Linked DNA regions of Notamacropus eugenii. The protein of the gene in region 1 interacts with the protein of each later gene in a pairwise test. Links are inferred from orthologs where the notes say so. Each region holds a gene or a part of one and is shown in the gene's direction. Other genes may lie near its edges. The genes, in order: C5H1orf94, RBFOX1, BANP and VENTX.

The links.
Region 2: the proteins of C5H1orf94 (region 1) and RBFOX1 interact in binary tests that used the Homo sapiens proteins (3 or more experiments, as listed by UniProt). The link is inferred for Notamacropus eugenii from reciprocal best matches to the Homo sapiens genes C1orf94 and RBFOX1.
Region 3: the proteins of C5H1orf94 (region 1) and BANP interact in binary tests that used the Homo sapiens proteins (3 or more experiments, as listed by UniProt). The two-hybrid records come from large-scale screens. The link is inferred for Notamacropus eugenii from reciprocal best matches to the Homo sapiens genes C1orf94 and BANP.
Region 4: the proteins of C5H1orf94 (region 1) and VENTX interact in binary tests that used the Homo sapiens proteins (3 or more experiments, as listed by UniProt). The two-hybrid records come from large-scale screens. The link is inferred for Notamacropus eugenii from reciprocal best matches to the Homo sapiens genes C1orf94 and VENTX.

What each region holds. Positions count from the first base shown.
Region 1 is NC_092876.1:85,488,218-85,496,155, reverse strand, and holds the start of C5H1orf94 (uncharacterized protein C1orf94 homolog), read left to right. Parts: upstream 1-4,432; 5' UTR 4,433-4,655; coding exon 4,656-4,969; intron 4,970-7,938.
Region 2 is NC_092872.1:85,126,987-85,135,509, forward strand, and holds the start of RBFOX1 (RNA binding protein fox-1 homolog 1), read left to right. Parts: upstream 1-5,153; 5' UTR 5,154-5,241; coding exon 5,242-5,328; intron 5,329-8,523. UniProt on the Homo sapiens protein: RNA-binding protein that regulates alternative splicing events by binding to 5'-UGCAUGU-3' elements. Regulates alternative splicing of tissue-specific exons and of differentially spliced exons during erythropoiesis.
Region 3 is NC_092872.1:703,794,766-703,802,657, forward strand, and holds the start of BANP (protein BANP), read left to right. Parts: upstream 1-4,425; 5' UTR 4,426-4,652; intron 4,653-7,892. UniProt on the Homo sapiens protein: Controls V(D)J recombination during T-cell development by repressing T-cell receptor (TCR) beta enhancer function. Binds to scaffold/matrix attachment region beta (S/MARbeta), an ATC-rich DNA sequence located upstream of the TCR beta enhancer.
Region 4 is NC_092872.1:291,926,161-291,933,802, forward strand, and holds VENTX (homeobox protein VENTX), read left to right. Parts: upstream 1-5,182; 5' UTR 5,183-5,225; coding exon 5,226-5,475; intron 5,476-6,005; coding exon 6,006-6,232; intron 6,233-6,351; coding exon 6,352-6,699; 3' UTR 6,700-6,937; downstream 6,938-7,642. UniProt on the Homo sapiens protein: May be involved in ventralization.

The sequences.
Region 1 (7,938 bases):
TTGGGAAAGTCACTTTACCCCAGTTGTCTCATCCTGAGTCATCTCCAGTCATCCTGATGAATAGCTGGTCATTGGATTCAGATGGCTCTGGAGGAGAAGCAAGGTTGGTGACCTGCACAGCCCTCCCTCACTCAAAACAAAGTCAAGTGCAAGTCATGTCATCATTTCTCCAATGACATAGTCTTCTTTGGCAAAGAAGGATGAACACACACACACACACACACACACACACACACACGTATTTCCACTGGCTAAATATCAGTATCTGATGTTGAACTATTTCATATTCTAAGACCTTTCTGGGAAGAACTTTATTTTCCGGGTCTTAAGTAGCAATGGGTGCAGCACCAGAAGGGGCAACTGCAAAGCTGCAACTCCACAGGGGTTGCTTCCCAGGATGACGGCCGAGGGAACTGGAGTAAAAGCTTTGTCATGTCCAGGGCTCTTGGATGTAGGGTCCTAGGCTGTCTCCATCCAGTTCTAAGGAGACATGGTAGTCTAGGTGGTGGTGGTCTGACTAGATTGGCACCCTCTGCCTCCCATCTCTCTCTCAAGGTGCCTTGCTGCTTCAGCTAAGCTAGCTTGTCCATCCTGAGTGTTAAGGATGACTGGCCCCATCTACATAAGAGCTGCTTCTTCGGATGATGGTTGGGAAGGCTGGGCTGGAAGATCTGGAAGGAACTGCCACTCCCAGGGCCCCTGTGTCTACCTGCTTGTAGGTGGCCATTGGTTAGTAGCTGTTGCTGGCCATGATGAGGAAGGTAGATCCTCTCCTCACAATGACTTCTCCCTTCCATGGTGCTTGTGGAGATGGGGCTGGAGGCAGGTCTGGGTGTTCTGCTATTCCCAAAGTTCTTGGGCTCAGGGACCTAGGCTATCCCCATCAAGATCTGAGGGGCGGTGGTGGGTAAGATGGTGGTGCTGGCCTGATTTTTCTGGCATATGTGGCTTCCCATATCTCTCTCAGGCTTACTCCTTCAGTTTTTTGTGCTGCTGATCTGAATCACAGAGGGATTTTCAATACCAATAATTCCCCATACCTATAAAATCACAAATCTAGAACAAACAATAAAAAAAGCAAACAACACCCTAACTCTGACTTTATCATGAAAATCTGTGAGAATAGGATTTGATAACACAAAGGTCTGTTTTCCAGACAATTTTGTCAGAAATCCACCTATTCTGCAACTGGAAGAACTTTTAGTTTACCATCTCTTTTGCGCCATTCCCCTCCTCCCATCAGAGCTCTCCTGAACCTCCCAGGGCGCTCAGCAAAGATACGCTAGGGTTTCAGTGACTCCAGAGCACAGAAAAGAGAACATCAATGCCGAGCTCCTAGTTTCTCCTGAGAAACAACCAGGCCAACACAAATACTGCATCTAATGAGCACAGACACATTTTGTTTGCAACTAACTTTTGTTGTTTCCCCTCCTTCAATTTTTAATGACTCTGGCAACAGTGTTAGGACCATTATTGGGAGAACCCAGGAGATGGGAGGAGATTGATTTAGATCCTGCAAGAGTGAAGGGAGGCGGGAAGAGGTCCTGGCTTCCTCACTAACTTGGGGAGAGCAACGCTCAGTGAGGGGATGAAGAGAGCAAGATGAGTCAACAGTTCATAGAGAAGCAAAGGCTCACTTCAGCTCTTTCCTTTCCCCCTGCACTCTCTAGTCCTGAAGCGTTTGCTCATAACTCTCTATTCTCAATCGTTTCAAGCTTTTGTTATTCATTCAGTCACCATATGATGATACAAAGACAAAATTGATGAGGATTCTTGTCCTTGAGAAGCTTATAATCTCAGTAGAAATGACAGTATGTTCATATATCTCTATCTCTATCTGTCCATCCATCCATCTATCTACATCTATACACACAGAGTAAATGCAACATAACTGGGGTGGGGGGGGGGGGAAGGATCTGGAAAAGTTTCATGTAGAAGGAATCACCGTGACCTGAGCCCTGAATAAAACCAAGAATTCCAAAAGGAAGGAGAGCACATCACCCACAGAGGCCAGCATGGAGCAGAAATAGAATGTCGTGTATGAGGAGCAGTAAATGGCCAATATGACTGAACTACCAAGTGAATGAAAGGGAGCAAAGTCTGGAAAGATGGGAAGAGAATTTATGAAGGACTGTAAATGGCAAACAAGAGCTGACATTTGATCTTAAGGGGTATAGGGAGTCATTGGAATTTCTTGAGGAAAAGAGTGATGTGGTTGAACCTGTGCTTTAGGAAATTCAATCTGGCATCTGTGAGGTAGACAGAGTAGAGAGACCTGAGGCAGAGAGACCAATTAGAAGGCTATGGCAATAGTCCAGGGAAGAGTCAGTGAGGGCCTGCCTGTGCTAGGGGAGTGGTTGTGTGTGTGGAAAGAGGTTTTGTGAAGGTAAAATGACAAGATTTAGCAGCTGATTGAGATAAATGGAATGAAGTAGACTGAGGAGTGGAAGATGACGCTGATGATGAGAGTCCGGGTGACTGGGAGGTTGCTGGGGCACTGGACAGTAATAGGGCAGCTTTGAAAAGCAGGCTGGCTCACTCTTCACCCTGCATGACTGTGCTACTGTCAGGGCCTGCTGGGGGAATGCAAACTCATTTTAAAATAAAAATGAGCCAAACAGAATTAAGCCAATAAATCTGATGGCCTGCATCACATAATGCGTTGCCAAGCCAAAGAGGACCTTTGAGGGTTGTCGGGGCTTCTCTCCTGCATCTTTAGCAGGAATAATCTAGTAGAATAGAAGGTTGGCCCAAAGGGACTGACTGCTAGGGCCCCTCAGCTTTGTCTATCGCCAAGTGGTTCTGGTGAGAAGACCAGTGGTCGTAGGAACCCTGATTTGCGGATGGGGTTTGAAGGAGGGGATACATCCACCTCTGAAACATGCTTTGGACACCAGCACTGGGGAAAAAAGGGGATGGGGGAGAATTGTAGGTTGAAGTGGCAGAAGCAAAGAAAGAGGTAAAGCCCCCGAGGCTATCCCTCATTTCGTCAGCAGAGCCAGTGTTTCTGAAATTGGAAGAGTGGGGTAGAACCTTTGCAGTTGGGGCTGAGGAGGGTCATATCGTGGCTGGCCAGGCAAGGGAGGCCGTCATCCGGCCTGTTGCCCCAAACTCTCCCTAAAAGTCCGAGGACTTTTTCTAGTGCCCTCCTTATCCCCAGGTCTCCGGCCTCGTCTCCAGGATGGGGTTGCGGGGACAGTAGGAGGATGTGCACTGGGGCGGTAGGTGATACGGCAGGGCAGTTGGCTCGAGAGGGTCAGGAAAGGCAGATGAGGATGGGCGAGGGTCTGAGGTCCCCATAGGACCTCTGCCCGCTCCTTGCCTCTTCAGCTGCATCGTCCCCACAGCAGCTGCCTCCAGGGGCGACTCAGTTCCCCCAGGAGGGCTGAGGCAGGAGCGGGATGTAGACGGGTCCAGACCAGACTCCTCTCCCTGCCCGGGCAGGTAGAGGCCCCAGATCGCAGGAGGTGGGGGGTTTGAAAAACTCGTGCCAGAATCTCACTGCTGACCACAGGTTGGGGGAATGCGGGCGCTGAAGGGCCGAGAGTGTGACCGCAGACCCGCGTGCGCGGAGTGGAGCGCAGGGCGCCGCTGCTCTCTTTCCTGCTCCCTGAAACCCCAGCGTATCTGCGCTGCGGGGGCTGGGGGGGACAGTTAAGAACTGCCGGGTTTTCATTCCTGACAGTCAAGAAGAAGTGTTTCAGTAAAGGAGGTTTGGCGGAAAGGCAGCGGAGGGCTCTCCATTTGTCTCCACTCTGAAGACGGGGGTCTCTGTACTGCTATTGAAAGCACACTAGCTTGGGAGTCAGAAGACATGGGTGCGAATTACTACTCTGTTACCTACCTGTGTGCTCTTGCTTAGACACTTCTCCCTGGGCCTCGTTTGCCTCATCTGTAAAATGAAAAGGATTGACTTGCAGATTCCCTGGAGCTCTGAAACCTGAGCTGTGGACTTTTTCTAGTGCCCTCCTTATCCCCAGGTCCCCGGCCTCGTCTCCAGGATGGGGTTGCGGGGACAGTAGGAGGATGTGCACTGGGGCGGTAGGTGATTCGGCAGGGCAGTAGGCTCGAGAGTTGGCAGATGAGGATGGGGGAGGGTCTGAGCCCTCTCTCCCACCCCCACCCCCTTCCTGAAGGGATCTCGTGCCTGGACTGCCCAGTTGTGAACGCCTCTGGCCAGGAGAGGAACGGAGAAAGGGGAGAGGGGTGGTGTTCCATTACTGAACTAACGTGGGGGAATGGAGGAGTGCAGGGCGGATTATCCGGGCTTCGGCTGCCCTATTTCCTTGTCCTACCGGCCCCTGACTCCCCCTCTCAGCTTGTCTCCAGTTGTTATTCTGCCGGCCCAGTTGCCAGGATCCTGTGCTCCAGGGATTCCACGGTTACTAAGCTACTAGGTTTGTTGTCTTTTATTTTAAAATATTTTCTTCTGGGGGAGGGGGGAGGGGGCAAAAGAAAAGGAAAGAGCAAATAAAAAAAAATCAAAACAACCCCTCCCCCAGAACACACACACACACACACACACACACAGACACAGACACACACACGCAAACACACATAGACTTGTGAAACAATTGTCCTTGGAGGAGAGAGAAAAATCTGACCCCTTAACTCCAGTATCCCCGACTCGATTTCTGGTGAATGAGGGGTTGTGGATGGTCTGTCTTGGAGCCCGGGGCAGGCAAAGGCCCTTCTGCAAAGAGAGGAGGATGATGGCCAGTGGGAATGGACTCCCTTCTCCCACGGTGGCCAGCAAGCGCCCATCACCCCTGGGTCCGTTCCCCAGGCATATCTGGATTCACCAGGACACGCCTCAAGACAGCCTGGACAAGACCTGCCATGAGATATGGAAGAGGGCTCAGGGCCTCCCAGAAGCCTTCCAGCCTAGGACAGGATCAATGGTACCAGCACAGCCCACTTCTGCCCCACCTAGTGCCCTCCGAGACCACGACAGCACTTTCCAGGATGAGTGAGTGTTTTTCCCCTGCCATGACAGAAACTTGGGCTGGGGGACTCTGAGCATCAGAGGTCTGATTCCTTGGGAGGCAGTTGCTTATGGAGAATATTTCCCTTGGCTCCATATCTGTAGCCACTCTATGGTGGCTGACCTAATGTCCTCCCTTCCTCATGCCTCACATTTCCCTCTAGGCTTTCCAGTGCCAACAGATCAGCACAGCAGGTCCACAAGTCTTAGGGCCTGCAAGAAATAAAGCTTCGGGAAGAGTTGTGGCCAATGATGGGTTGGGGCACCTTTTGGGGATTATTCTGGGATAAAGGGACAACTTTTCTTCCTTGCCTGCTAATAACACTTCTCTTCCCAAAGCCTTGGATACGAGAGGCAAGAAAGTTGCATTAATCAGAGCTAGTATGATCTGCCAGTCCCAGAGGTCTACCTTCCTCCAGGATTCCCAAGGTTCTCCTCAGAGATGGTTTAGAGATGAGGATTTCTTGGGAGATGCTTTTCAGAGATGTTCACTTTCCTTCCCACCACATAAACTGATCTTCTTGGTGTGGAGCCACATCTGGAATCCCCCAGCTTGGGAAGCAGCTGTCCCATTCAGCCGCTACAGAAACCTCTCCAAAAGCACACATCAAAATATTTACTGGGAAAGCCCTGACATCGTCAAAGACCATAATAGAAAATTAACACATTCTAGAAGATGGCTGTAAATATGCCTATTTCCTGCTGGGAAACCCTGTGACTGGGAGTGCCAAGAGTCTATACTGGGGCAGAGGCGGAGGGCAAGAGGAAGCAGTGAAACAAGAGCTGGAGGATAGGGAGGGAGAGGCAAGAGAGAAAATGAAAGGCTATGATTCATGCCCCTATTTAGTCTTTCCATAAGTTTTCTGTCTTCAAAGGGTGTTGCAAACCTGAATTAATTACTCCTCGAAACATCCCCGCCAGGCAGATAATGCTGTCCCCATTTTACAGATGGATTAAGTGTTAATAATTAAGTGCTAATTAGAGGCTAAGTGATAATTAAGTGTTGCAGGCCCCAGTGTATGGTTCTGTACAGTGGAGAATGGCATTGGGGAGTTGGTGGAGTCTTTGCTTGCTAATCCAAGAAGCACCCAGGCAATGACCAGCTGTTAGCAACTGCTCGTAGGCTCTTGCAAAGCTTACTTGTGGATCCCAGAGAACTGAAAGCCCTAAGCACATCAGTGGGCTGAAGATGCAAACAACTCAGCGGCCTCCTTTCCCACCTCTCCTGTTCTGCAGTCCTTGTCAGAGAGGAGGAAGTTAAAGGCACTTTAGTCTGTTCTCAGTCTGCCTCAGCTGCATTAGAGAAACAAATATCGCTAGCTCGGTGCAGCTGAACAGTACTTAATGCAGAGCTCCCGGCCAGTCTGCCTGAATACTGAGCTGGTCCCAGGCAGAGCATCCAGTTCCTTCATTTTACAGAGATGGAAGCAGAAAGGGCAAATGATACGACTAAGGCCCCACAGGCATGTGGTATAGCCTAGATTCAGACTCTAGCCCTCTCACTCCAGGGATCTTTCCACTGAAATATACTTCCTCTGGATGACTAAGGGATGAAGTCTTCCTACTTCAGATTAGGCACTTGCCACTGGCAGAAACAGACCTACAGGCAACATCTAGGTGGCACTTATCCACTTGGGATTAGCCATGGGTAGCTTTTAATGTGGGACTTGGTTTCCCCAAATAACCTGTTTCTTTCAAGCTCTTCTCTCCAATCTTCAGTGTTGTATGTGGACCTTGAAATTGGACTGGGGTGCAAATGTATGGGTGTCAGAAAATCTTCACTTTAGTTTGGAGTGCGCCACTGATTACCTGTGTGAGCAGGGGCAAATTGGTAAACCCTTTTCTACCTCTATTTCCCCTTCTTTAATCTGAGTGATGAACTTGGTCTTATTTGTCTTCAGGGCTGTGGTGAGGATGATAAGGGATGAGAGGTATAAAAGTACGTTGGAAATTTTAAGTAAAAAATTGTATAAAATGCAAATTATTATACTTTTAATTGCTCAGATGTGTCTTTTACAATCTCATTCTAACTGTTCAAGAATAAACCAAGTATATCACCATAGTATATCTAGGAATCTGCTGGTGAAGGAGAAGCCCCATCTTTTGAAGTTTATTTGAAACTATGACAAATCTTCCAGTTGCTGGAGTTATCTGGCTTCTGTGCAGGAGGTGAATGGTTTGTGTTTATGAATCCCAGTTATGGAAACTTTCTGACTTGTGTGTATGACCTTTGTTCTGGAACTGTCTGGCTTATCCATGAACCTTGGATCTGGATGTCTAGCCCATGTGCATGAAGCCCAGTCAGGAAACTGTCTGGTTGGAGTATATCACATTCATTAATTTATCTATTCATGCATTCATTCATCCATATTCCTGTCTATTCATTCATCTGACAAAACATCATAATCTTGTCTGAAGTTTAAGAGCTAATATGGTATTTAGGTTCTACACGAACCCCATTCTGGGAGCTGCATAGCCTATGTACTTGAGCCAGATGTATGGGGAATGCCTGGCCTGTATAGTCATAAAGATCAAGCCTGGAAATTTTCTGATTTATGTTCACAAGCTTCATTCATTCATTTAGCAAACGTTATCTAGTTCCAGATCTAGGAGCAGATAAAGCTGAATACATGAAACTCACTCTGGGAAACAATCTAGTCTGTGAGCATGAGTCTCATTCATCTATTCATTCATTCATTCATTCTCCAGGTATAGGAGCAGGTTTTGCTGTGTGCATTAATCCAAATCTATGAACTGTTTGGTCATTGGGTATGAGCCCCAATCTGGAGATCTCTGACATGTGAACAAGCTTCATTCATTCATGCTTTCATTTATTCTTAAGCTAACCTGACTGTGTGCATGATCTGTGGTCTGAGAGTAAGTTGTATGATTTACGTGTCTGAAACTCATTCAATCATTCATTCAATAAACATCCAACTTCAAGTCAAAGAACT
Region 2 (8,523 bases), on another chromosome or scaffold:
CACAAGGGGGCCAGTCTCACTGGATCCTTGAATATATAATGGAGAGTAAAAGTAAGGCTAGATTGTAAAGGGCTTTGGATGACAGAGGATTTTAGATTTGATCCTGGAGGTGACAGGAGTTGACTGAATGGGGAGGAGTTAGATATGGTCACATCTGTGCCTCAGGGAGATTAATTTGACAACTGAGTGGAGAATGGATTGGAGTGGTCATAGGCTTAAGCCAGGGAGATCAACCAGCAGTCCAGCTATAAAATGACAGAAAAGAAAAAGAGAGGGGAGCATACGTGAGAGATGTGATAAAGGCAAAATTGATAGGAAGTGTTGGTATCAGATTATATGCGGAAAGTGAGAAAGACCTAAGTTGTGTTTGTATGACTGAGTGGATGGTGGTGCCTTTGGCAGTAAAAGGGGGAAGGTCAGAAAGGGTTTGGGGAAAAGATAACAATTTCCATTTTGGACATGTTGAATTTAAGATATCTTTGGGATGTCTAGTCTGAGATATCTACTAAGCAGTTGAAACTCAGAAAAGAGGTTTGGGATGGCTAAATAGATCTGAGAATGATCAGTATAGAAATGATAATTGAAACTGTGGAAACTGATGAGACCTTCAAGTGAAATTGAATAAAGAAGGGAAGACCACCAGAGACAGAGTCCTTTGGGACACTCAAGATTAGTGGGCATGATCTTCATGAAGATTCAGCAAAGAGGGCTGAGAAGGAGCAATCTGACCTATAGGAAAGAATCTATAATATGCGACAGTGAGGTGACTAGCTTGACCAGAATGGAAGACACAATTTGGGGACTGGTCAAATATATACTGAGATTAGATGATGGAGGTCTAAGCAGGATGGAAGTATTTGGAGTCTGTCAGGGGAATAGGGAACCATTGAAGGTTTTGCACCTGGGAATACCAAATTAATGGAAGTGATTCTTAAGTTAGTTAGGAAGTAAAAGATATAATAGAATTGAAGGAATAGCTTTTCTGATAATCTAGGTATGAAGTGGGAGGGTTGTTTCTCCATTGTCATGTGGGCTGTCTTTAATCAAATAATATGACTGGAAGATGCTCAGATAACTCTCTATTGTGATTATAGTCAGTTCTTAATTATTCTGGTACAATTAACTTCCCTGTATATTACCCATAGCATAATATATTGGAAAGCTGCAAATAATTGACTATATTGATTCTATATATTTCAGCCCAGACTGGAAAAGGAATATTCTAGTTCACATAGTCTGGTAAACAAAGATTATCAGTTTTCTCTGGGTTTCAATAAAATGAAATATTTAATGCCATATTTATTAAACAATCCTCTGCATAAATTATTTTTTGATTGGTCAGGAGGAACGTTAGGAATTTTCATTACCTTCAGGTCATCATTACAGATATCAGTTACCATCCTTCTGTACAAGTGGGAACATTCTGTTTAAGAGAAAGTTTTGGTTAATGGGATGCTGTAAGATACAGTTTTTTGTGAGGCTTTGAAAAATTATACTTTATTTTGGATTTTCTGTGGTGATACCCTTTCACAAGTGCTAGTCAATGAGAATTGTAAACTAAATGCACCCAAATGTAATTCTTGGAGTACACGCACATATACATATGTATGTGTGTATATATACATACATGTGTGTATATATGTGTGTATGTGTGCACACACATAATTTTGCTAAATATTCACAGCTATAATCAGAGTGCCTTACCCCTCACCCTTACCCTGTTCTTTAGTTTTTGTGTTCTGCTCTCTTCTCTTCCAAGCTGACATTTAGTCTTTGGGCGTCTGTCACCCAGAAGGAATGGGGGTGGATAGTGTCATCATTTACAATCCCAAATTCTGCATGTTTTTCTTTGGGGGGGGTATTCTGAGCCACAGAAAAGGGGGTGGAGAAAAGAGGGGCAGGGGGAAGATTTGATTAAACTAAGAAGACGTGACAGAAGGGAATCAAAGAGTCGACAACTGAGAAGGGAGTTTGATCATGGATTGAGAGAGAGAAAAGATGAGAAGAGGATTATTTTAGGGAAAGGAAGCTAAAAAAAATCAAAGAAGTTATAAGAAAAATTTTACTTGAAGGAAATCCCTAAAAAACTGCATAAGGATACATCAAATGATACAAAGGAAGTAACATGAAAGGAGAGAATACAGATAGAAAGCAAAGTAAAAAACAAAAAGAATGTAAATTAGCCATTTGATTGAAGACTGGCTTCAAAACTTTGGATAAAATGGATATTTTGTTATTCTCAGAGTGGATAATGATACAGAATACATTCTTTGGAAATATAGTTTCAGATTCTTAGTGGAAAAGGTAGCGAATGTGTTTCTCTAGTGATTATCAGATCCTTCCACCACCACTCCCATCTCCATCACAGGCAGATTATGGAGATAGGAAGTATCTCTGGAAAAGTAAAGGTTGTCCTAAATTTGTGTTCAGAATGTTACCCTGCAGTCCCAGAGTTAAGTAAGCATCCATTCAAAAGGTCCCTTCTCCTTAATCTTAGACTTATCTCATTAAAAGAAATAGATTTTTTGAGTAATTATCCTTAATTGCAACCTACCCGACCTTGAAGTTATATCATATACTTGGACAGTTTGAAAATATCTTGAAACATGAGAGAATACACTTACTACAATAGGTATTGGTTTCCACAATACAGGTAGTACTACGTAGTAGAGGGAGCACAAAATTGGACTCAGGAAAAATTAGATTCAAATCCTACCTCAGGTGCTAACTAGTTGGGTAACTGAGAGGAGTCACCTAACTTCTCTAAACATCAATTTCATCTGTAAAATGGGGATAATAATAATAGAGATGGTACCTGTGCCTTTTAGGGTTCTTGTGAGACTCAAACGAGATAATGTGTTAACAAAAAAAATAAGTGGTATAGCACTTATCGAAGCTGTCTCCCAGGTCTTAGTGCAGTCATAAGCTAATAGCTTAAGATCACACTGAGATTTTGGGTGCATCCCGTCTTAATATCAGATATTACTGTTTATATTTTTTGAAAGTGAGGGTAAAACTCTAGTTTAGAAACAAAGTTTTGTGAAAACCTTTCAAATGCGGTGCACTTTATACATTTTATTCCTTGTGACTGTCAATTTTATATGCTCTTGGAAGGGGAATAAGGGAGTGTGGCATCCCATACCAATGAGTTGATTAGTATCAGGACTTTGTGGTGAGTAAACTCCCTTCCCTAATGGAGAGCATCAGCAGTTCTATGACTTTGAGCCTTAGAGAATTTTCTGAGGCCCAGAGAGATAAAGTCACTTACCCATGATTACAGGCTTATAGTTATCATACAGGACTTGAACCCAGGTCTTCTAAGCTAGTTCTCTATCTACAATGCCATGTTACCTATCAGTAAAGATAATACCTTATGATAACATGAACATATATCTCTTCAGGGTTCTTCAAAAGATTTCCTCATATATGATCTTATTAACTCACAAAAAACCTATTACTAGGTAAGTAATATTACCCCCTTTATTATGTACTTGAAAGAACAGACTCAAAGGAAGGGAAATAATTTGTTCAGGATTGCATGTTTAAGTGCTGAATATTGGATTAGAACCCTGGTTTCATGACTTGCCAGGAACTGTTTTCACCACTCAGCGATAAAGTGACATAATATGAACTGATTAATACCATCTAACAGAAAGTAATAATCTCCTCCTGTCCCTATCCAAGAGTGAAGCTGTCTATAAATGGAAGCCAGGAATAGGTAAACATGGCTATATCCCATGGTGACTTTTCTGTCCTCACTGGTAACTTCTTAGAAATGCCATGTTGGGAGTCACAGCTCCAAATCTAAAGTTAGAAACCATATCGGACTGTTAAGTAAGAGGGGTCAGCTTACAGCTGCTAACCGGAGCTCGTTTGATACATGAGCGTCAATTGTAGAAAAGCTTTCAGTGTGGCCAAAACTCAAGTTTTAAATGGAAATCTGTGCCAAATATTGTCCACTATAGTTACCTAGACAAGTAATTATGCTGCTAAATCAAGGATCTAAAATTAGTATAGAATAAAGACACCTTGACTCTCTCAAAGCACAGGAATTCGTGCCTGGATTCATGAGAAGGCAACAGTGGAATGTAATTTAAGGTACTTTTCTTTAACTTGCCCAGTTTCAGCATATTTCAGTCATCTTTTCTCTTTATAGTTAGAGTTGGAATGTATTCAGCAGGTGTTATTGAAAGATTTATTTTAAGTTCTTCTTGACCTTGAATATCACCTAAGTGGACACAGCACATTGGACCTTCATATAATTGCCTGCTAAAAAGTGAAAAAATCTGAATATAGCAACCTGCCCTCCTGGTAGACAAAACCAGAGGATCAAAAAGCACAGCTGCTATCTGTGCCTTTCAGAATTGTGAATACAGAGCAGCGTCTACACTGTGCTGAACATCTGGTTGAAAACTGGGGGGAAAATGCTGTCAATCTTCATCTGCCTGTTTACAAATAGGTTAAAGTTAGAAGGTCCAGATTTGTACCTGAGGTTTTCAGATTGCACCCAGATTTTTGATGCTATATTGACCCTGATTTATATGTCAGAATCTGACAGTATCTTTCATCAAGAAATGCGACAGAATTGGAGGTTCAAGTTTAACAATTAGAAAGTCTTTTTACCTCTAAACTCATTTCAATGAACATACGATAACACTGGTCAAATTACCCCTCTAAAGCCTATCCCAATCAATCAGCTTTCCATGTTTTCTCTGTCTCTCAAAAAAATCAGCATTCATAAATGCACAAGGCTCTATGTATTAACAAGGTGATTCAAGTTTAAACATCAACCTCTATTTTCTTTCTCACTTTTTATTTTCTGTGTATCTTCCCAAAACCCTACGTGGAATCAGCCATCTACCATTTGGCAGAATTCATTTTGGAGTATCTTAAACCTTGTTGCTTTCTTCCTCTCATTTTTTTTTTTTTTTTTTGCAAAGCTAAATTAACAAAGAGTACTTGGTTAGTCATGTTAGACAAGCTGTTCCCAAAATAGCACCTTCCATTTTGGTATCTCCAGCTTTGCAGCTGCTGTCTCTCTCCGTTGTCTGGGAAGAAAACTTTAACATTAAGAGTTGCTGATGTAGATTTTTTTCCCCTCCGAGTTGACGAGGGGTTGGGCCCTGACAGAAGTTATTTGGCTGTAAGCTTTGTAGTTTGGAAGAACTTGGTCTATAGATTTTCGCCTAACTTTCAATTGATGTGTTTAGCTTCAGTGGAAGAAATACAATCACTTAAACCATGTTGTCGTCTCAAGGAGTTTTGCTACATCCCTACGGCGTGCCCATGATTGTGCCCGCGGCACCGTACTTCACGGGACTTGTTCAGGTAATTCAAGGCCGCTTCCAACAAGCAACTTAACTCTGGTGCACTTAGAGTAATAATTGGAATTTTTATGGTTGAGAAAGCAAACACTTTTAATACAGGAAAAAGCCCTCATGTAGTCAGTGAGAAGACAGTAGGAAATCAAAAAGATGGATCACCCTAATCTGTGTATTGACATCTTTCATGGCTGAATAAATGGTGTAGTTGAGCTATATTTGCTTGTATTGATCTGCCTGCTGCTTAACATTCATGCCTTTGCTTCAAGAGGTTGACCACAGGGCAAAGGATTTGCTCTCCGTTTCAGCTTTCTGAGGGACTCAGCATTCCCAGTGCAGATCATGAGGCAAAGTAACTTACCATGATGTGGTTCAGTTAAGTGCTTTAGCCCAGCAAAAATGAGTAACATTAAATATGCATTAATTCATATGTTCGACTTCACATGGAATGTCTGTTTTAATAGAATTTTTTTTGTAAAATGGAATAATACATTGATGGTTAATTTATGAAGTTTAGAGATCATTATAGGAACCCCCACAATCAGCCCTTTGAGTTTTTAAGGATGGCAAGGAATCGGTGACTTGAAACATGCTTGGTTTTTGAGGAATTAACTAGCAGTTAATTCCATCACAGTGCTCAGAATAGACTGTCTGCTAGCATTGTACGTCAGATAATTCTTCCAAAGGTTTTCAAGGGACTTAGATTTTGTTTAGATAAAGATTGGCCTTCACTGTGAGAATTGTGCAAGCTGCTGTTTTTGGTCTATTGTGTACTGGTCAGAACACTGACACCTGTGTTCTCATTCTGGCTCTCCTCTTATATGGCTGTGTGATCTTGGGCAAGTCACTCGTATGTAAAATGAGAGAGTTGAGTGAAATGATTTCTAATATCCCTTCCTTATTTTCAAGTTTAATGATTCTACACATCCAGGTACTCAGTTGTAAGGTACATTTTTGTAAACTTTGTCATATGGTTATTGTCCAGTACTGTCTTTCTAACATTTTCTGGTTATTATCCAGCAGGTACTTTTCCTACACCTGCCTTTAATCTAAAACAGACCCTTCTCTATTATACTTTGTTAGACATTATGAATAAAATGTCTAATTGTTATTCATAGCAAACAAGCAACAAAAAAGATTTCCCTCCCCCTCACCCACATGCCCCAGACCTGTAGTTTGGGAGTGAGTGAAGTGAATAAAGTCCAGCCCAGCTCATTAGAGTTGAACTAAAAAATGTCTTCAGCACAGACTGTTGGGCAGACACATTATTTTTTCCCCCAACCTTCATTGTAACCCGTTGTTTATTACAAAAGGCTGGCTAGAATATCAAACCTGGGGTGATTCCAAACAGCCGAACAGCTCAATAATTCTAGATTGCTGGCTGGCGCCTTCACTGGAGAGTTTACTCGATATTAGCCACATGTGTATGAAGTAGAAATAAATTGATCTACCTGAGATTGGCCATTATCAATACTGAAATCTTTGTGTTTCTTGGTCCAAACAAGCACGGGCCACTGGTCCTCCTGTGGTATACGAGGGCAGGACTAGAAGCTTATAGGCAACTACTCTTATTTCCATTTTAGATTTTGGGTGAAGGTCAGGACCAGGAGCTCTGTCAGACCCTCTGCTATCCTGTCCAATAAATAATTACAAGCAAATCGTGCCTTTCACTCTATGCTGATTGATGCTGAAATTGCTTTTGAAAGTTCTCATAAGTTCCTGTTATAGATTAAGTGCCGGTGTAGGAAAAATAACTGCACCCAACTGAAATGGGTGAATGTAATCAGGTTTAATGGACTCGGGAGCTTGTTGGGAATTAAATAACTATTGATTTGTTGGAATGTTGCTGTCATTACAAAATGCCACTCTGGACACATTACCCAGGTGATAGATTAGAAGACACAAGAGCTCTTTGAAAAATTTGGGAGATCTGGTTTTATTCGTTAGGTACACCATCTCAGCCAGCATATTTGTGGAGTGTGGTAAATTGCTGTGAGGAAGCAGGAGTGGGCTGTTGCTACCATTTGCAAACTGTGACATTAGTGTGTATTTCCATCTAAGAATTCAGGTTTGGAAAATGTCTTTTTAATACTTCATTAAGGTCATGATTTCATCAGGATAGATGGTGCCCTCTCCACCTAGGAAGATCATGGCTCACCTGAGCATTAGATTTTGGTTTCCTAGGTTGCTTTGTCCAGAGCAACTCATCCCATGGCATCTAAAGTTTTATTAATGAGCTTTTCTGAATTTGCTAACATCAGTCTTCTGATGACAGACAGTTAGGTGATTGCTGAGAACCTTTTCAGCCAGGCAGAAGTGGACAAATCTCTATCACCATAGCCTGAAAGATCCTGCGTGTAGCTTCATGACTCAATCAGGCATCCTGCTAGCACTTCAGTGGAGGCACATTTGCTATCCCTGCCCCCAAATTTGAGAGCACTATGACAGTGACACAGAAAAAAGACTATTGCATTTGGAGTCAGAAGATCTGGTTTAAAATCATAGTTTGGACTTTTCCTTTATGGTCTTGGGCAAGTCATTTACCCTTTCTGGGTCTCAGTTTCCTTACATGTAAAATTAAGGGGTTGTAGTAGATGAAATCAAAAGTCCCTTCTTATTCTAACTGCATGATAATTTGTAAATTCCTGGTCCAGAACCTGTCTCTTTCCATTCCACACCCTGAATGGTCAGAGACTTAGACTGGCTATCTTTCTTTCTGGTACACTGAGCCAAAAACATGATATTAAAATGTTTGCATTAGAATGACAATTGCATTAGAATCACCTGTAGCAGCGTACTGGAGAAAAAAAATTATATCAGTGAATATTACCATCACCAAATGCCTTCTGTTTTCACAGCAATTTAATATCAGGTTCCTTTTCTTCTCTCTGCCCTGGGTTCTTTGCCATCAAGACCAGAATGCTTTTCTAACATGTGAAATACTTGCCATTTCATGGGATTTGCCATAGTATTACAAAGGAGCCTCTGCCACCTATTTATCTCAGGTGATAAAGTAAACTCCAATTTTTCTTTAAGTGTTATTTTGTTTTGACTTCATACTATAATATCCCAATGAATCTATAATTTCAGTGTCCTGGATATTCTCTCTGATGTGAATTGCAATTAATCCATATTTTCTCATCCTTTGCCACTGTTATCCAGATCCTTCTATAATTTTGCCAAAGATAGTAGTACCAAAGTT
Region 3 (7,892 bases), on another chromosome or scaffold:
GATTACAATTTCAGGAAAGCCCACCCAGGCTGCCTGAATGGGGACTCAGCTAGCTAGGTAACTCAGCTCCTCCTCTTCTGTCTGTCTCCCCTTCCCCTTCCTTCTCCTCTCCAAAGGAAGATATATTTGTTTTACTGGCTTGATTCCTTTATTTTTCCTCTCCTCTCCCCTCCTCTCTCCTCTCCTCTTCTCTCCTTTCCTTTCCCAAAACCTTAAACCTACTGCACTCTGAAGCTCATCCATTGGACAACACTAGGCACCTGTCTAAGGGCTCTCCTCTGGACCCTCCTGGGTCAGAGTGTTGCTGTTTCCCTCCCAGTCTGATATCTTCATTTTTCTTTGCCTCATTAAAGGGGCCAACCCCTGGCTACCTCTTAAACAGACTTATTCAATGAATGGGCATTACCTCACCCTAGGTGAGTACCTGAATAGACCTTGGATTCAGATGATTCTGGAGGAGAAGTGAAGCTGATGACCTTGCACAGCCCTCCCTCACTCAAAACAAAGTTAAGTGCAGTCATGTCACCATTTCTCTAATGGCATGGTCTTCTTTGGCAACAAAGGACAAACACAACAACCTTGTTCCTGGATGGGATCAGTCCAATCTTCTCTCCTATGATCCCATTCAACATACAGTAATCCCTTGTCACCACTCTGCTAAGCTGTTTTCCCCCATTGTAATATAAGCTTCTGTATTTGTATCCTCAGCCGTTAGTACAGTACTTAGCACATAATAAGCACTTAGTCAAATTTTAAAAAATTCATTCATTTAGTTATTAATCAGTGCTAACATTAATTGAAAATTTCCCATGGAGACCAGACAGAGCCTTATGACCAATTATCCCTGAAAAGGCTTCAGTAAGCAAAAATCTGACAGTTTTGGAGAGTTTAGTTGAATTGGCATTGTATATAACTGCATTGAAAATTTATAGGATGATAGGATTCAGGAACTTAGAAATAATCTAATCAACCAACAGCATTTATTAGGTACCTACTGTGTGGAAGAATTGTGTTAGATACTGGGGATACAAGGAGAGCAGGGGAACAAACAGTCCCTGCCTTCCAGTAGATCTGGAAAGGTAAGTGAGAATCTCGTGGTAAGGACCTTAAATGCCACAGGTTAGATTTGTTTCTAGAGGTCAGAGGGAGCTATTGAAGTTTCTTGAATAGGCTAGTGAGACGGTCAGTTGGGACTTTTGTTGTCAGTCATTTTGATCATGTCTTACTCTTCATGACCCTATTTGGGGTTTTCTTGGCAAAAATACTGGAGAGATTTTTGTCATCTCCTTCTGGGTAACTGAAAGGATGGTGGTAATCTAGCTAGAAAGAAGGAGGTTTGGAAAAGGGGTGGATTTGGGAGGGAAAATAATGAATTGTGTTGTAGACATATTGAGTTTGAGATGCTTATAGGATACCCAACTAGAAATATCTCATAGGCAATTTGTAATGTATAGTTAGAGCAAATATTTCTTTTTTATAGTTAGAGAAAAGGAAGACCAGAGAAAGAAACTAATAAATCCAAGTCACCCAGGAAATAGCTTAATTAAATCCAGTAAATATTCATTAAATGCCTACAATGCATAAGGCATTGTGCTACGTGGTTGGACATTTTAAAAAAGAAAAAAAACCTGACATTCCCTCTTCTAATAGATCTTACAATCTAATGAGCGTAGGAAAGCTTTAGCACTCTCTCCAAAGGCATAGTAAATATATTGATTGAGAAAAAGTTTCTCTTGATTGTAATTTCCAAGATGAAATTTTAGGGTCCCTGGTTCCTCAAGGGACTTGCAGGGCTTGAGTGGTAATGATGCATAGGATGGTTGGAGTAGGGGATAAGTCAGCAGTTAATTAAGGTGCCAAGTCTGTATGCTAGGAGTCATTAAGACTAGAAAGATCGAATGCCATGACATAAATCAGGGGGTGAGGGGTGGGCATCTAGATTGTCAACAGATGTTAAATTACTTCTTATCTTTATTATAATCTTAGTAAACATCAAATGGAATGGACATTTAAATTGCACTAAGATTTTTGAGATACCTTTTAGAACAGAAAAAGAAGATTGTACCTGAAACTACAGGATACAGCTGACTTTTCTTTTAAAGTCTATAATAAGATCAACCTGTAGCTTTTAAGGCTTGTCCTGCTTGCTTGGTTTACCTTCTTTTCTTTCCACTATTAAAATTAAAAAAAATTTTTTTTCCTTTCTCTCCTCCTTTCTATCCATATCTCCATCTTCATCCTTTCATCCCCATACCCCCACTGGAATAAAATAATGAATCCCTTGTAACAATATGCCTAGTCCAGTGGGAAAAATGCCCACATTGGCTAGTGTCTGAAAATGTACGGCCCATTCCTCATCTTGTGACTCAGCAGAAATTAGAAGAAAAAATCCATCTCCTCTACAATTCCATTGACCAAGCATTTACCTAGGAAATGCTTATTATGCTCAAAGCTTTGTGCTTGTTGCTAGGACTGCAAAGACAAAAATCTCTGTCATCAGTTTGGAAAGAGCATTAACACCTAGTGGGAATCAGTGAAGTCTTTTATAGAAAGGGGCACTTGGGCTGGAGAGTAAAGACAAGCTCATTATTTCAACTGTGAAATTTCTTTTTTTTCATTTTATTTTTTAAATTTTATTTATTTTTAATGCTCTACAATCACTACCATAAAACTTAGATTTTTCCCCCTACTTACTCCCCATTATCCCCCTCCCTCCCCAAGACAGCATACAATTCTATATAGGATCTACACATACATTCGTATTAAATACATTTTCATTATAGTCATGCTGTGTAGAAGAACTAAAATAAATGGGAGAAATCATCTAACAAACCAAAACATAATACATACACACACACACACACACACACACACACACACACACACACAAATGATCTGCTACTTTCTGCAATTGAATTCCATAGTTCTTTCTCTGAACGTGGAAGGTATTTTGCCTTAGAAGACCACTGGGATTTTTTTTTTTTTAATGTCCTTGCATTGCTATGAAGATCCAAGTCTACCAGAAAAAACTCTCGCACACTGTGGTCGTTGCTGTGCACAAAGTTCTCCTGGTTCTGCTCCTTTCGCTCAGCATCAGATCATATTGAAATTTCTCCCAATTGACCTATGTTGAAGGGCAATACAAGACTTGTACACTGACAGTTCTTCAAACACTTGGAGAAGATGGCAGAGTGTGTTGGTTGGCATAGAGCAGATGAAATAGCATGAAATCTGTTAAATATCAATCATTTAACACTTATCCAGGGCTTGCACAGCTCTCCCTCACTCAGATCCAAGTCAACTGGAAGTCATATCATCATCTTGATAACATGGTCCTCTTTGAGAACAAAGCACCTATGTACCAGGCACTGTGCTAAATGTCGGAGACACAAAAATAGGCAAAAGACATACCCTGTCCACAAGAAGGTTACAATCTAATGAGAGAGATGACATCCAAATTTATATACAAAACTAGTGGTACCTACACTGTAAAACAAGCCAGTAGAGGACTGTTTACTAGGGTCTCTTAAAAAGGTATAAAATTAAAACCTTAAAACCTTTTCAGAAAAGTAAAGTGGTTACAGAGAAGAATTTTGAGGGGAAAAAAGTGGTTTTGTAAAAAGTATGCCTTTGAAAAGTATAGAGTGTACATGTGTGTTTTTGTGGCCAAGATTGTAATAAACCTTTAAAAAAAAATGGAGGTCATCCCATCTATATAATGTTGGAATGACTTCTAAAATCCCTGTGTCTTAGTTTCCTCCTCTGTTAATTTAGGAGGTTGGTCCTTGATTTCTCTGGCCCCAAATGCTGACATCCCTGACTGGTTATTAATTCCAAAGAGGTGCAGCCTTCCAGACAAATTCACCAATTAGAGAGATCTCCATCAAGGGACCCAGGTCATCTGATCATCTGCCTGCCTGCTTCCAGACAAGGCCTCCAAAGGTCTAAATACAGGGTAAAGGAAGGACAGAGGGAAATACTGAAAATCACTTTGGAGGCATCTAATAACTAAATTAACTTAACTACAAGTCCCAGCATTCCATGCAGTGGGAAAACGGGCCAGGATGAGCAGACTACAAATCCCAGCATGCTCTCTAACATAATGACACAGATGGACTACAAGTCCCAGGATGCACCTTATGCCGAGAGCCATGCATCCTGGGATTTGTAGTATTGCCCTGGTGGTTCTTTCGGGGTGGGGGTTGGGAGTGGGAAACGACAGCAGTAAACAAAGCCAAAAGCCAATAAATCAAATTATTTCATCAGTCCATTTAAATGACACTCTCCGCCCTTTTCTACAGTCGGCTGAAGAAGCTGAGAGCACACGCTTGCGTGGGTCCTGGAAAATCAAAACGGGACGAGCCTGGGAAGAGGTGCGCATGCGCTCTGACTGAAGTAGTGACTAAAGGGAGCGGGATCAGGTTAAGGTGAAAGCGCGCGCACGAAGATAAGGGACGAGGCCGGCGCTCGCGCGTCGTTTCCTATTCCCTCTCCTGGCGGGTGGGGGTAACGCGTCTGCGCAGGTTTGGGAGGACGATCGCCGCGGGGGAAGGAATCGCGGCGCCTGCGCATTGCAGCAGCTCCTCTCGCGAGGACGGACGCCATTATCGCATCTCCCCGACAAACACCACGAGAATTCCGCAGCCCACACGGTAATTGCAGCTCCCGCAGCCGGTCGCGTCTCCACCTCCCCCCCCTTCCCGCGGGGCGAGAGCGAGAGCGAGATCTCCCCCTCCCCCGCCTCTCCCCTGCTCTCCTCTCCGGGCCTGGCCGGGCCCAGCTCCAGCTCCCACCGCCCGGCCCGGCGTCCGCCTCAGCCCCGGTGCGTCTGGGTCCGGGCCTCGCTGCGCCCCCCCGGACCGGAGCCGCCGCCGCCGCCGCCGGGAGCGGGAGCGTAGGCCCGGCCAGGCCCGCCAGGCCCTGCTGCCAACGGCGGCCTCGCTCGGGCCGCTCGCTTCCTGGGGATGGCGAATACCGGGGCGGGGGTGGGGGAGGCGGCGGCGGCGGCCGCTTCCTGGGCGGTCAGCCCAGGATTCGGGCCCGGCGGCGGCCCCAGGGACCGGGAGTCCCGCCCAGCCCCCTCCTCGACAGACGAGGAAACTGAGACCCGGGCAGGGAGGCGGCCTCCCCTTTGGGCTCAAGGGATCGAGACCCTTTTGGGGGAGCCTCCGCCTCTTTTACAGATGAGGAAACTGAGGCCCGAAGGGGAGGAGGCTTCCCTAGCATGGCTTGTGAAGTGAAAAAGGGCCCTTAGAAATGAGCTGGTCCAGTACCCCTACTTTACAGGCGGGGAAACTGAGGCCTCGAGAGGGGAAAGTGAAGTGACCCGAAGCCGTGCAGCTAGGAAACCCTAGGCCGTGCCTGAGATCGGGAGTCATTTGGGAAACGGAATATTCCCCGCCTCCTCCCCCCTGAAATGACTGGAGAAGATTGTTTAGTGAATTATTCATGACCCTCTCCCTACCTCCCCCCCTTCTTTCCCAAACATACAGATAACTGCGTTTCTCTTCCAGCTCACCTGATGCTCTGTGTATTGTAAACAGTCCACGTGTCTGTGACCCACTTTTGTACATTTTCAAAGCCCTCAGTTTCTTCAGTTGGGCTTTGCAAACAAAACCTTTATGCTTAAAAAAAAAAAAAAGAAAATTAGCTGTTTGCCTTTGCTTTTTTTCCCCCCACCACTGACTTTGCAGAGTTTGTATTAGAAAAGGAATTTGGATAAATTATAAAAGCATCGGGATTTATATAATTAAATACCTGAAAGTCAAATTACTATCGATTGATTCTGTGATTATTGAGCTTCTCTACTATATTTATACTGTTGGTCAGTATTCTGTCAGATAATACTTTTTTTTGTGAGTTTCGGTTTCTAAGGCAGTTCAAATTTAAATAATTTTGATGAGATTGGGGAATATTTAATGTTATTTGAACAGAGCTGTAAAGGCACTTTCCAGTTTCTGAACTATTATTCTACAGCATATTTGGAGAAGGGATAACTCACTTTAATACTGTGGTGCCTAACAAGACTGATTGTAATTAGACAGTGTGTTAAAAGGTGTGAATATCAGATGGCTAGGTTTTTCCTTTCATGCTCAGTTTTCACATTTTAGATTGGTGTATTGTAAAGTCTTAGCTCAGTAGTCTCATTGGAGGATTACATTCTATGGTTGTATGAAGAGTATACTAGAAGTTATGTTGGTGGAATTTTTTAGAATTGGAACAATATTAAATCTAAAGTATAAAGAAACTTGTGAAACTTTGTTCCCTAAATAAGATACATGGATCTTTGAGTTACTGATTGTTTATGTTTAGTCTGTTTCAGAAAAGAAATCAAGATGTAACCTACTTTGAATTTTGGAAAGACAATCATAGAATTTTAGAAATGGAAGGATCTGTAGAGAGCCTCAAAACAGTTCCTTCAGTGATTTTAATAGCTGACTTTTTGCCTCACCTCATTATTTTTGGGTATACTGATTTGGCTCTTTTGAATCTTAGCCTTGATTTTTGCTTTGGTCAGGTTTAAATTTTTTTTTTCACTTTTGGTAAACTGGGGCAAAATTCAGACAAATATACACCCACAACATGATTATTCTTGAGATGTATTTTAATACTCATACTTTAAGTATAATTTTTTTAGTTTGGTACTCCTTCCATAAATGTGGATTGCAGTTTCTCTCCATGTTCGTTTTCAGTCGTTGCTAAGGAATTAATCAATGCTACCAGCTTGTTGAGGTCTCTGGGTTTTGGCTTGCAGTGTAACAGCATCTTAACTGGGTCCATCCTTAGAACCTTTGCATTCTGGTAGCACTTGCCAGAGCTGACCCTTTATGGGGGTGGAGGAGTGTTGAGAACCCCTGGCCACATCAAACTTTGATTATGTCTCAGCTGGTCCCTCATGGATGTGTTCTTAACATAAGAACTTTTAGTTTGTGAAGAGGAGGGGAACATTTTCACCTGGGAGGGAAAAAAAAATTCCTGAAAGAGAGGGGAAGGTGGTGGGTAGGTGGAGGGAGTGGGCATTTGTTAAGTGCTTACCACATGTTGGACACTTTATAAAAATCATCTCATTTGATAATTATGCTGCCAAGGTGTGAGATGTGAGGGGAAGTACTGCCCAGTGAAAAGAGCTTTGACTGGAGGAATCCAGAGGTGGGACTCTGGCAGTCTAATTTGTCTTGAGTGACTTGGAATGGTAACTTAGTCTTTAATTTTCAGTACCCTTCTCATCTGAAAACGTGTGGGGCTTAGACTAGGCCTCTAAGGATAGTTGTAGTTCCTAAATTCTGATTATTTGTTTACAATAATAGAAATATTTGTGGGATTGTGGTGGGTTAGGTTTGCACTCCATGGCTGTGAAAATTTTTTTCTTCTAGGTGAGAAGTCATCTGAATGGCTTTGGCCCAATTATGACTCATGGCTGAACTTTGACTCTGCCAAACCAGTTGTCTTGGGAAAAGCTAGATTAATTCAAACAAGTGGCTCCCAAGGGGGTGAAGTAGAATGGTGTAGGATGGGCATGTAGCTGGAAAACCCATGGTAAACTTGAACTTATTGAAGAAAAAGAACTTTGGAACAGTGTGGTGGTTAGGAGGGAGACACAAAGTAATGAGAAATATTCTATGTTTCACTTGATGCTCCCATCAGAGTGCTGCATAATTGCCAAATAGAATAAAGATTGAGCAACTTGAAATTTTGTATTGTAGACTAACTACTGTCTCAAGAGTTTATTTGAATAGTAAGGATGAAAGATTTATAGATATATAGTATCTATAATATAGATATCCCTAGACATGTGTAATAGATACATTTCAATAAAACCCACTGCAAAGTGAGATTTTATTTAGTAAAGGTGTATCACTTGCTTACTGTGTGTAAGGCACTGGGCTAGATGG
Region 4 (7,642 bases), on another chromosome or scaffold:
GCGCCGAGATTCAGAAGGAACTGGGAAGGGGGGGAGGGGAGATAAACCAGGGTTCTCTCCAGGATTTTTTCTTTGCCCGGCCTCAGCTCAGGATCGGCCAAAAAAATAAACAAGCTCCCTCCCTCCCCCCCCCCCAACATTTCTTCCAAAGGCTCCACATTTTGGATTAAGGATGCTAAAACCAGGGCCCTGCCCAGCCAGTCTTTGATCTCCTACCAGAGGAGGGGAGGGGCTGGAAGGAAGTTGTTTGTTCCTGGGATTTGGTGTGTGGTGGGGGGAGCCCATCTAGAAAGCAGGCGCCAGCACCCCAGGGAGGAGGCCTGGTGACTTTGGACAGGACAGTCTGAGGGAGATATGGCCAGCCAGACCTTGCTGCTGAGTGGGACTCCTTGGGTTGGGGGCCACACCTGAATGCTGCAAGGCACCTGATCTGACTTACTTGTACCCCATCACCTTCCCCTGGATTCCTCTTCCTTGTATGGGGGAGGGGTACATACAGACTTACTGAAAGCGACTTGCGCCTTCCCCCTCCTCAAACTTCCCTCCCCCCTGCCTTTGGCCCCTCCAAGGACGGCCAGCTTGGCCTGTCCGTTGTGGACTTCTCTGTACATGTGTGGTCTCCAGAACTCTAGGAGAGCCAATATTATGGTAATAATTATAGCAATTAGTCTTTACAAGTTACCTACTATGTGCAAACAGAATGAGGTGGCTTGCCTGGGGTCACACAGCTAGTAATTGCCTGAGGTGGAATTTGAACTCTGCAACTCCAGAGTCAAGGCTCAGTTTTCTAGCTGAGGCATTTAGGGTTAGGCCCACCTCGCCGCCCAAATGCTTTACAAATGTCATTTCGCTTTATCCTCATCACAGCCCTTCAAGATAGAGACGCTGTTATTCTCCCCATTTTTTAGCTGAGGAAACTTAAGCAGACAGAGGTTAAGTGATTTGAGCAGCATCGCAGTCACAAAGCTAGCACGTGTCAGGGGTCACATTGACTCCATCTCATTGGACCACCTATAGAAGAGGAGCAGGCGGTCAGGTAGGTCAGGACAGGACAGACAGACAGAGATGAGGTGAAGGGCTGGGAGTCAGACCTGGCTTCAAAGCCCACAGGCTCACCTCCCTGAGCTTCCTCTATACCTTGAAAAGACTCGCACTCTGAAGTGGGGAAGGGGGCACAGGGGTCCCTACCCTGACAAATATCACAGCAGTGCTGGCCACAGGTGGTGCTTCGTAGGAATCATTTCCCACTTTCTCTACTGAGTTCAGGAGTGTTACATCCAGTAGAGGGAGCCACACTACCTTCCACTCATACAAGAAGAGAAAGAACCACCTCCCCCTTCTCCCCTCCTCACCTTTCTAGGATAGGTGACTGTGTCCCATAGTCCTAGCTCCACCGCAGCCTCTGGGAGAGATAGGCTAGGCCCCCCCACTACTAAAACAATTAGGCTTCGAAATCCCATTAGTCTGGGAAGTAAACAATGGTCTCATTCCTTTCCAGCCCAGATTCCAAGGCTGATCCTCTGGCCGTCACCCCTAGGACCAGGAATCCTGGGAAGTGGCTCCACTGGAAATCCACAATCAGTGAATGGGTTGCTTTGGCCTTGGTCTCCGGCCCCTCTGCCTATCTTGCCCAGGTGCCCACCAGAGAAGGTAAAGCTGCTTCTAAATTCCTCCTCCTCCCCTCCATGGAGTCAACACAAGGAAGGCCTTAAGGTGTCCTTTCAAACACACTGGAGCTGTCCAATAAATAAATGTGCTTATAAGCCTTTCCTAAGTGCCTGTGATGGGCCACTCAGCCCCGGATAAGCCTTTTTCAGATCACTCCTTGGTTCTGCTTGGTGTCACTGCTGGGTGCCCCAGAGCATTTCACTGACCACAGGCACAGTATTCTGTTTGTGGATGGGATGGGGAGAAGAAGATTGGTATGCTGGCTGTGTGACCCTTCATCCCCTCCCAAGCACAGCCTCCATTTTCTACAAGTTGGTAAGAAAATGGTTAAAGCTGTGAAAATGCACATGATTATCAGGCTGGGTCTTCCCAGGCCCTTCCAAAAGGGCAGGCTAACAATTCAATCACTTTATCTCTAATGAGATAATGTATGCAAAGTGCTTTGCAAAATTGCAACCAGAGGCTGTGATTATTCTGACAAGCCTGGGGCCCCAGCTGGGGGGAGGGGAGAGATCCATCCACAATTAGGTATTAAATGGGGTTGATTTCTGCCTCACCTTCTGCTAGGTTAAAACACGACACTCTGAGAATGGTCTTAAGACCCCCAGGACACCCAGGAGAGCTTGGCCAAGTAAGAGTGAACTGCCTTCCTCACCTTTGGGCTAACCCTCACCAGCTAGATGTGGACCTGAGACTCCAGGTCCCTTTTAACTGCCCCCATACTCTCTGCTGGCAGTGACAGGGACATCCAACAGTCTTGTATCTTCTGAGGATGTCAGAAGCCTGTTCTTTGACTACACCAGGAACTGTCTCCAGAAATAAGGGCGATCTCTCCCCCAGGATGTAATTAGTCAAATTCTAAACACACACACACACCTAATTTAGTGCTTAAGAACCCAGGCTGACACAAAATCCCAGAATTTTAGACCTGGAAGGACTCCCAGCTATTCTCTCATTCAACCCTTCCATTGGACAGTTGTCACAATCACAGTCAAAAAAGAACTTTAGCCCTTGGGGTAGTGATCCCAAAGCAGCACTGTACTTTGGTCCTTTCTCCTTAGCTTTTACTTTCCAAGATCACAGGAGTACAGATCTGGAGTTAGAAGGGATCCTTGAGGTCTTCCAGTTCGATCTTCCCACTCTACAGATGAAGAAATTGAGGCACCCACTTCAAAGTTAAACAACATGATCACATGAACTGCATTAAGAGACAGAACCAGGGTCTGAATCCCTGTCATCTGACTCTTTCCACTAAGTCTCAGTATTTTTTACTTACTCCCATATTCACTCTTTTTTGTCATTGTCTTTGTTTTGTTTCATTTCCTTCTAGTCTGCTGTATTCCTCCCCAGGTCTAGCTTGTCAACATTCTTCTTGAGAAGCTCCTTACTCTGGTTGACCAGGATCACAGGCTTCCATCAGGACCTGAAGAACCACCCTCCCCCAACCTCTACCATCTAACCCTTGTGCCTACCCATTGTCCAGGTGGTGAAGCTGAGGTCCAGCCCAAGAGGGGGGTGAAAGGACATGCTGAGAACTCACACAGAACAAGGGATAGGATGGAGCAGAATTCAAATGTATACATAGATACATACAAATCAATAAACAGTAAGCACCTACTATGTGCTATACCCTGTGCTAAGTGTTGGAGATACAAAGAAAGGTAAAAGATGGTCCCTGACTTCAAGGAGCTCATGGTCCAATGCAGGAAGCTACAAGCAAACATGCACAGATAACCTCGGTGCCAAATAAATAGGAAATAACATGGGGAAAGACTTCCTGGAGAGGGAGGGATTTTTACTTGGGACTTCAAGGAAACCAGGGAAAGCCCTGAGGCAAAGGTGAATTGGAAGACCAACCAGGGTTTTGGGACTGCCTGGAAAATGCCCAGAGCTAAGAGGACAGGGTCAGTTCAGGCTGTACCACTGCATCATAATGTCTCTCTCTCTTTCTCTTTCTCTCTCTCTCTCTCTCTCTCTCTCTCTCTCTCTCTTTCTCTCTCTCTCTCCTTCTCTCTCTCTCTCTCAAGGAGGTGATGTGGAAGATAACTAGAAAAGCAGGAGGGGCAACTTATGAAAGGTTTAAGTGACAAAGAAAAGATTTTATATTTGATCGTGGAGGTAAGGGTGAGCCGTGATTAGTCAGAGCTGTGATTTACAAAGGTCACTTTCACAGATCACAAGAGAAGAATGGACTGGAGTAAGCAGAGACCAGCAGACAGACCAAAACTAGTGCAGTCATCCAGGTGTTCGGTGATGAGGACTTGCACCAGGGTGGAGGTGCTGTCAGAGAGAAAGGGGCATATGTGAGAGATGTGACAAAAGTAAAACCAATAGGCCTGGTAATCGATTGGATATGGGGGGTGAGAGAGAATGAGGAGCTGAAAATGACACCTAGGATATGAGGATGGGGATGCCCTGCTGAGTGACAGGGAAGTTTGGAATCTGGAAGGGGCGAGTTTGAGGAGGAAGGTAATCAGTTCAGTTTGAGATTTCTACCGGACATACATCATAAGAAGCAGTTGGAGACAGACTGAAGGTCAGCAGAAAGGTTAGGACTGGATAAATCGGTCTGAGAATCACCAGCATAAAGATGAGACCTGAATACTTGGATGCTAATGAGATCACTAAGGAAATAGTAGAGAGATAGAAGAGTTAGCTTCTTAAGTGTGCATGCCCATGAGAGCACTGGAGAAGGAAATGTTAAAATCCCCCCCAGGATCTTCACCAAGTAAACCCCATGGATAGTATGGTCCATGGGGTCACAACGAGTTAGACAGGAAGGAACAACGATGTGTAAATGCATATATTTGTAGATGTGCATCCCTAGGGGAAAGGATGAATATTAACTCTAGAGGAGTACGCAGAAGTGTCCTTTCCATTGGTTTTATTATATGGGTTGGACTCTAAGGCCCCTCTGGAAGCCCCCAACCTAACCCACAAACCAGGTCAGTGACTGGGTTATACCTGCATTTATAGGCATGTTCTCTGCCCAAATTGTAGCATGTATTTCCTTGGGAGAATGGCTGGACTAAAGAAGTGGGACTTTCCGGGGAAGGATCTGCAGCTAGTCTTTCCTTGCAGTATTAACAGAGTACCTAGAACAAAGTAGGCCCTTAACAAAGGTTTTTTTAAACTATTTATTGACTGAACTAGACAGAAGCCTCCAGTCCAACGGACTTTAAGGGAGGGAGACCTGGAGGAGCCATTTTCTCGGCATCCTCTTTGGGCCAAGATAAGTGGGGGAGAACTAAGGAGTCCTCTGGGGGAGGAGGGAGGGTTCGGGGGGGGGCGGGGGGGGAAAGGAGGATGTAACTACTGGGACGTAACCACCCGGAGAAGGAACTCAGACATCTAGGAGCCAGCAGAAGTGCGAAGGGCCCCCGGGGTGGGGCTGAATGTAGGACAATTAGGTGGTACTTATCGGAGCCTTTGAGGTTTGTTTATGCAAGCCAGATTGGGGGGTGGGCCCTCAGCCGGCCCCGCAGCTTATATAAGTTTCACCCTGGCGCTCCCAGGAGAGTTAAAGTCCATCCTTTTTGGTGCCCACCAGTCTCATAATGACGAAGGCCCCATTTTCTGTGGAATGGCTCTCTCAGAGCAGCCAGAAGCCCTCACGCCTCGGCCAAGATGACTCAGAGGCTTCCACTGCAGGGAAAGGCCGAGGCGACCAGGTCCTTGGGGGGGATCTTATTTTATCGGGCCTTCCTGATACCTCGGGGTCAGAAGGCCCTTCTACGAGTTCGTGGGTCCCGACGCTACCCGCCGCCGCCGCCGCCGCCGCCGTTGTCAGAGAGTCTTCCTTAGTCAGTAAGTGCTTTCTCCAGGTGTGGTGGTCAATAGAGGAGACCCCGAACTAGAATGGGGTGTGGAGGAAAACCATAACACACGGAAAAGGGCTGTGTTTGGAGGGGAAGAAGAGAGAAGGCGGGCCAAGGGCCAGGGTGACTGGAAGGGACAAGGGAGACAGCACTGGACTGGACTGGACTGGACCAGGCCAGCCCAACAGGGGGACTTGCTGCTTCCGAGAAAGTCCGATTCCTGTTGGATAGCCTTTCCACCAGAAGCCAGGAGCGCGGAGGTCAGGTTCAAGTTGTCTTTAGGGGGCGAGGCATTTGGGGAACTCCTTGCCACTCAGGGCCACGTGTTTTGACCAGTAAGGAAGCACTTAGCCTACCAGCCTGCCCTAATTGACCCATCCCTACGAGAGCTAGTTGTCATTTGAAGATATTCCTGACCTCCCTACCAGAGCCGAAGCTCAGGCCCTCGGTGAGGGTGTGCCGACATGTCTAGGTGGGAAGGCCTAGACTTTCTAAGCGCCGCCTCACCTCTCTCCCAAGAATCCAGGTCTCTGGGCGAGGAGGCTTCCCCTGAGGTCAACAGTGGCAGCTGCGGGCTGTCGGAGGGCCCAGGCCCTGAACCCCATTCCCGGGGCGCTCGCCGCCTGCGCACGGCTTTTACGACCAAGCAGATCAGCACTCTGGAGAGCTCCTTCAAACGCCACCACTACCTGGGCGCTGCGGAGAGGCGCAAACTGGCCGGCAAGATGCAGCTGTCAGAAGTTCAGGTACCCAGACGGGCAGGGGGGGGGCTCCCCACTCCATTCCACCCCACCCCTCGAGCCCCGGTTCTGCCGCCAGCCTGCGGCGATGCTCAACTTGACTTTGACTTGTTGGGCTCCCGCAGATAAAAACCTGGTTCCAGAATCGCCGCATGAAGCTGAAGCGCCAGCTGCAGGATTTGAGGCCCCCCGACCCTCCTCCAGGCTTCCCCCTCCATCTCTACAGCCCCCTGCTTCTGCGCTCTACACCAGTCCCGCCACCAGGCCTGCCATACGTGTACCCCAATTCGCCACAGCTCCGAGTCCCCAGCCTCATCCAGGAGCCCTTTACTGGTGGCCTGGCCCTCCCATCTCTACTCCCTCTGCCTTTACCCCCCAGTTCCTGCAAAGTGGCCCCTCCTGCCATCCCGTCTGTGCTGGCCTGTTTACTGAGCGGTTGCCCAGACCAGGCCTCCTTCCTGAGGGCCTTGTGACGTTGGAGGCCTGCCCCTCTTTCGGGGTGACATTGATACTGAGGAAGGAGAGATGAGACTGGACAGGATAGGACATCTCTAGGAGCCAAAGTCTGACAGGACCTGGTGAAAGAGTCCTCTTTGTTCCACTGGAGGTCCTCAAATATGAACTTATGTATATATTTGCAAAATTTTGTCAAACTATTATGTACAGAAAGAACTATTTATGGAAATATTAAAGAATAGTTGATGTTTTTAACGTCTTATGTGTGCATATGTAATTTGTGAAAGAAACCAGTCCACTTCTGATCAAGATTTCATTCCAAAAGAAAAACAAGTTTGAAATCATTACAAAAGTGGGAGGTTTAGCAGCTGAGATGGGGAGGGAGAAAGACCAGGGAGGGTCATCCTTTCCTGTAGGAGAGTGTGGCATTTTAGAAAATAGGGCCAAGACAGAAGATGGAAAGTGGAGGGAGGTTTGGTTTTTCCAATGTGTGAAAAACATCATGGATAATAAGAAGGGAAGACCCTTAAAAAGTACCCAACAGAAGAGCATCTAAACCTGGAGGTAATAGGGGGAGCCAATTCAATTGGGGTAATGAGAAGGGAAGACCCTTGAAAAGTGCCTAAGCCAATTCAATTCATTGGCAAGAGGTTAGATCCTCATCAATTAATTAGGCTGAGAATTCACTAGGAGCCAAAGCTGGGGGTGTGGGGGGATCTGCTCCTGCACATTTTGGGGAGGTTAGGGTTGAGCAGAGAAAAAGGGAAGAAGGATACAGATTGGGGGAGGAATTCCATAAGTCAACAAATACCCTCCACTCAATTTGAGACCCCTCTAACCATAACCATAGTGTAAAGCAAGGGTTTTACTCCTATAATGCTGGCTCCTACCTACCTTAGGGGTAAGAATATCTAGATTCTACCTTTTAAAAACTGGAGGAAGCCCCCAACCCCATCTGGG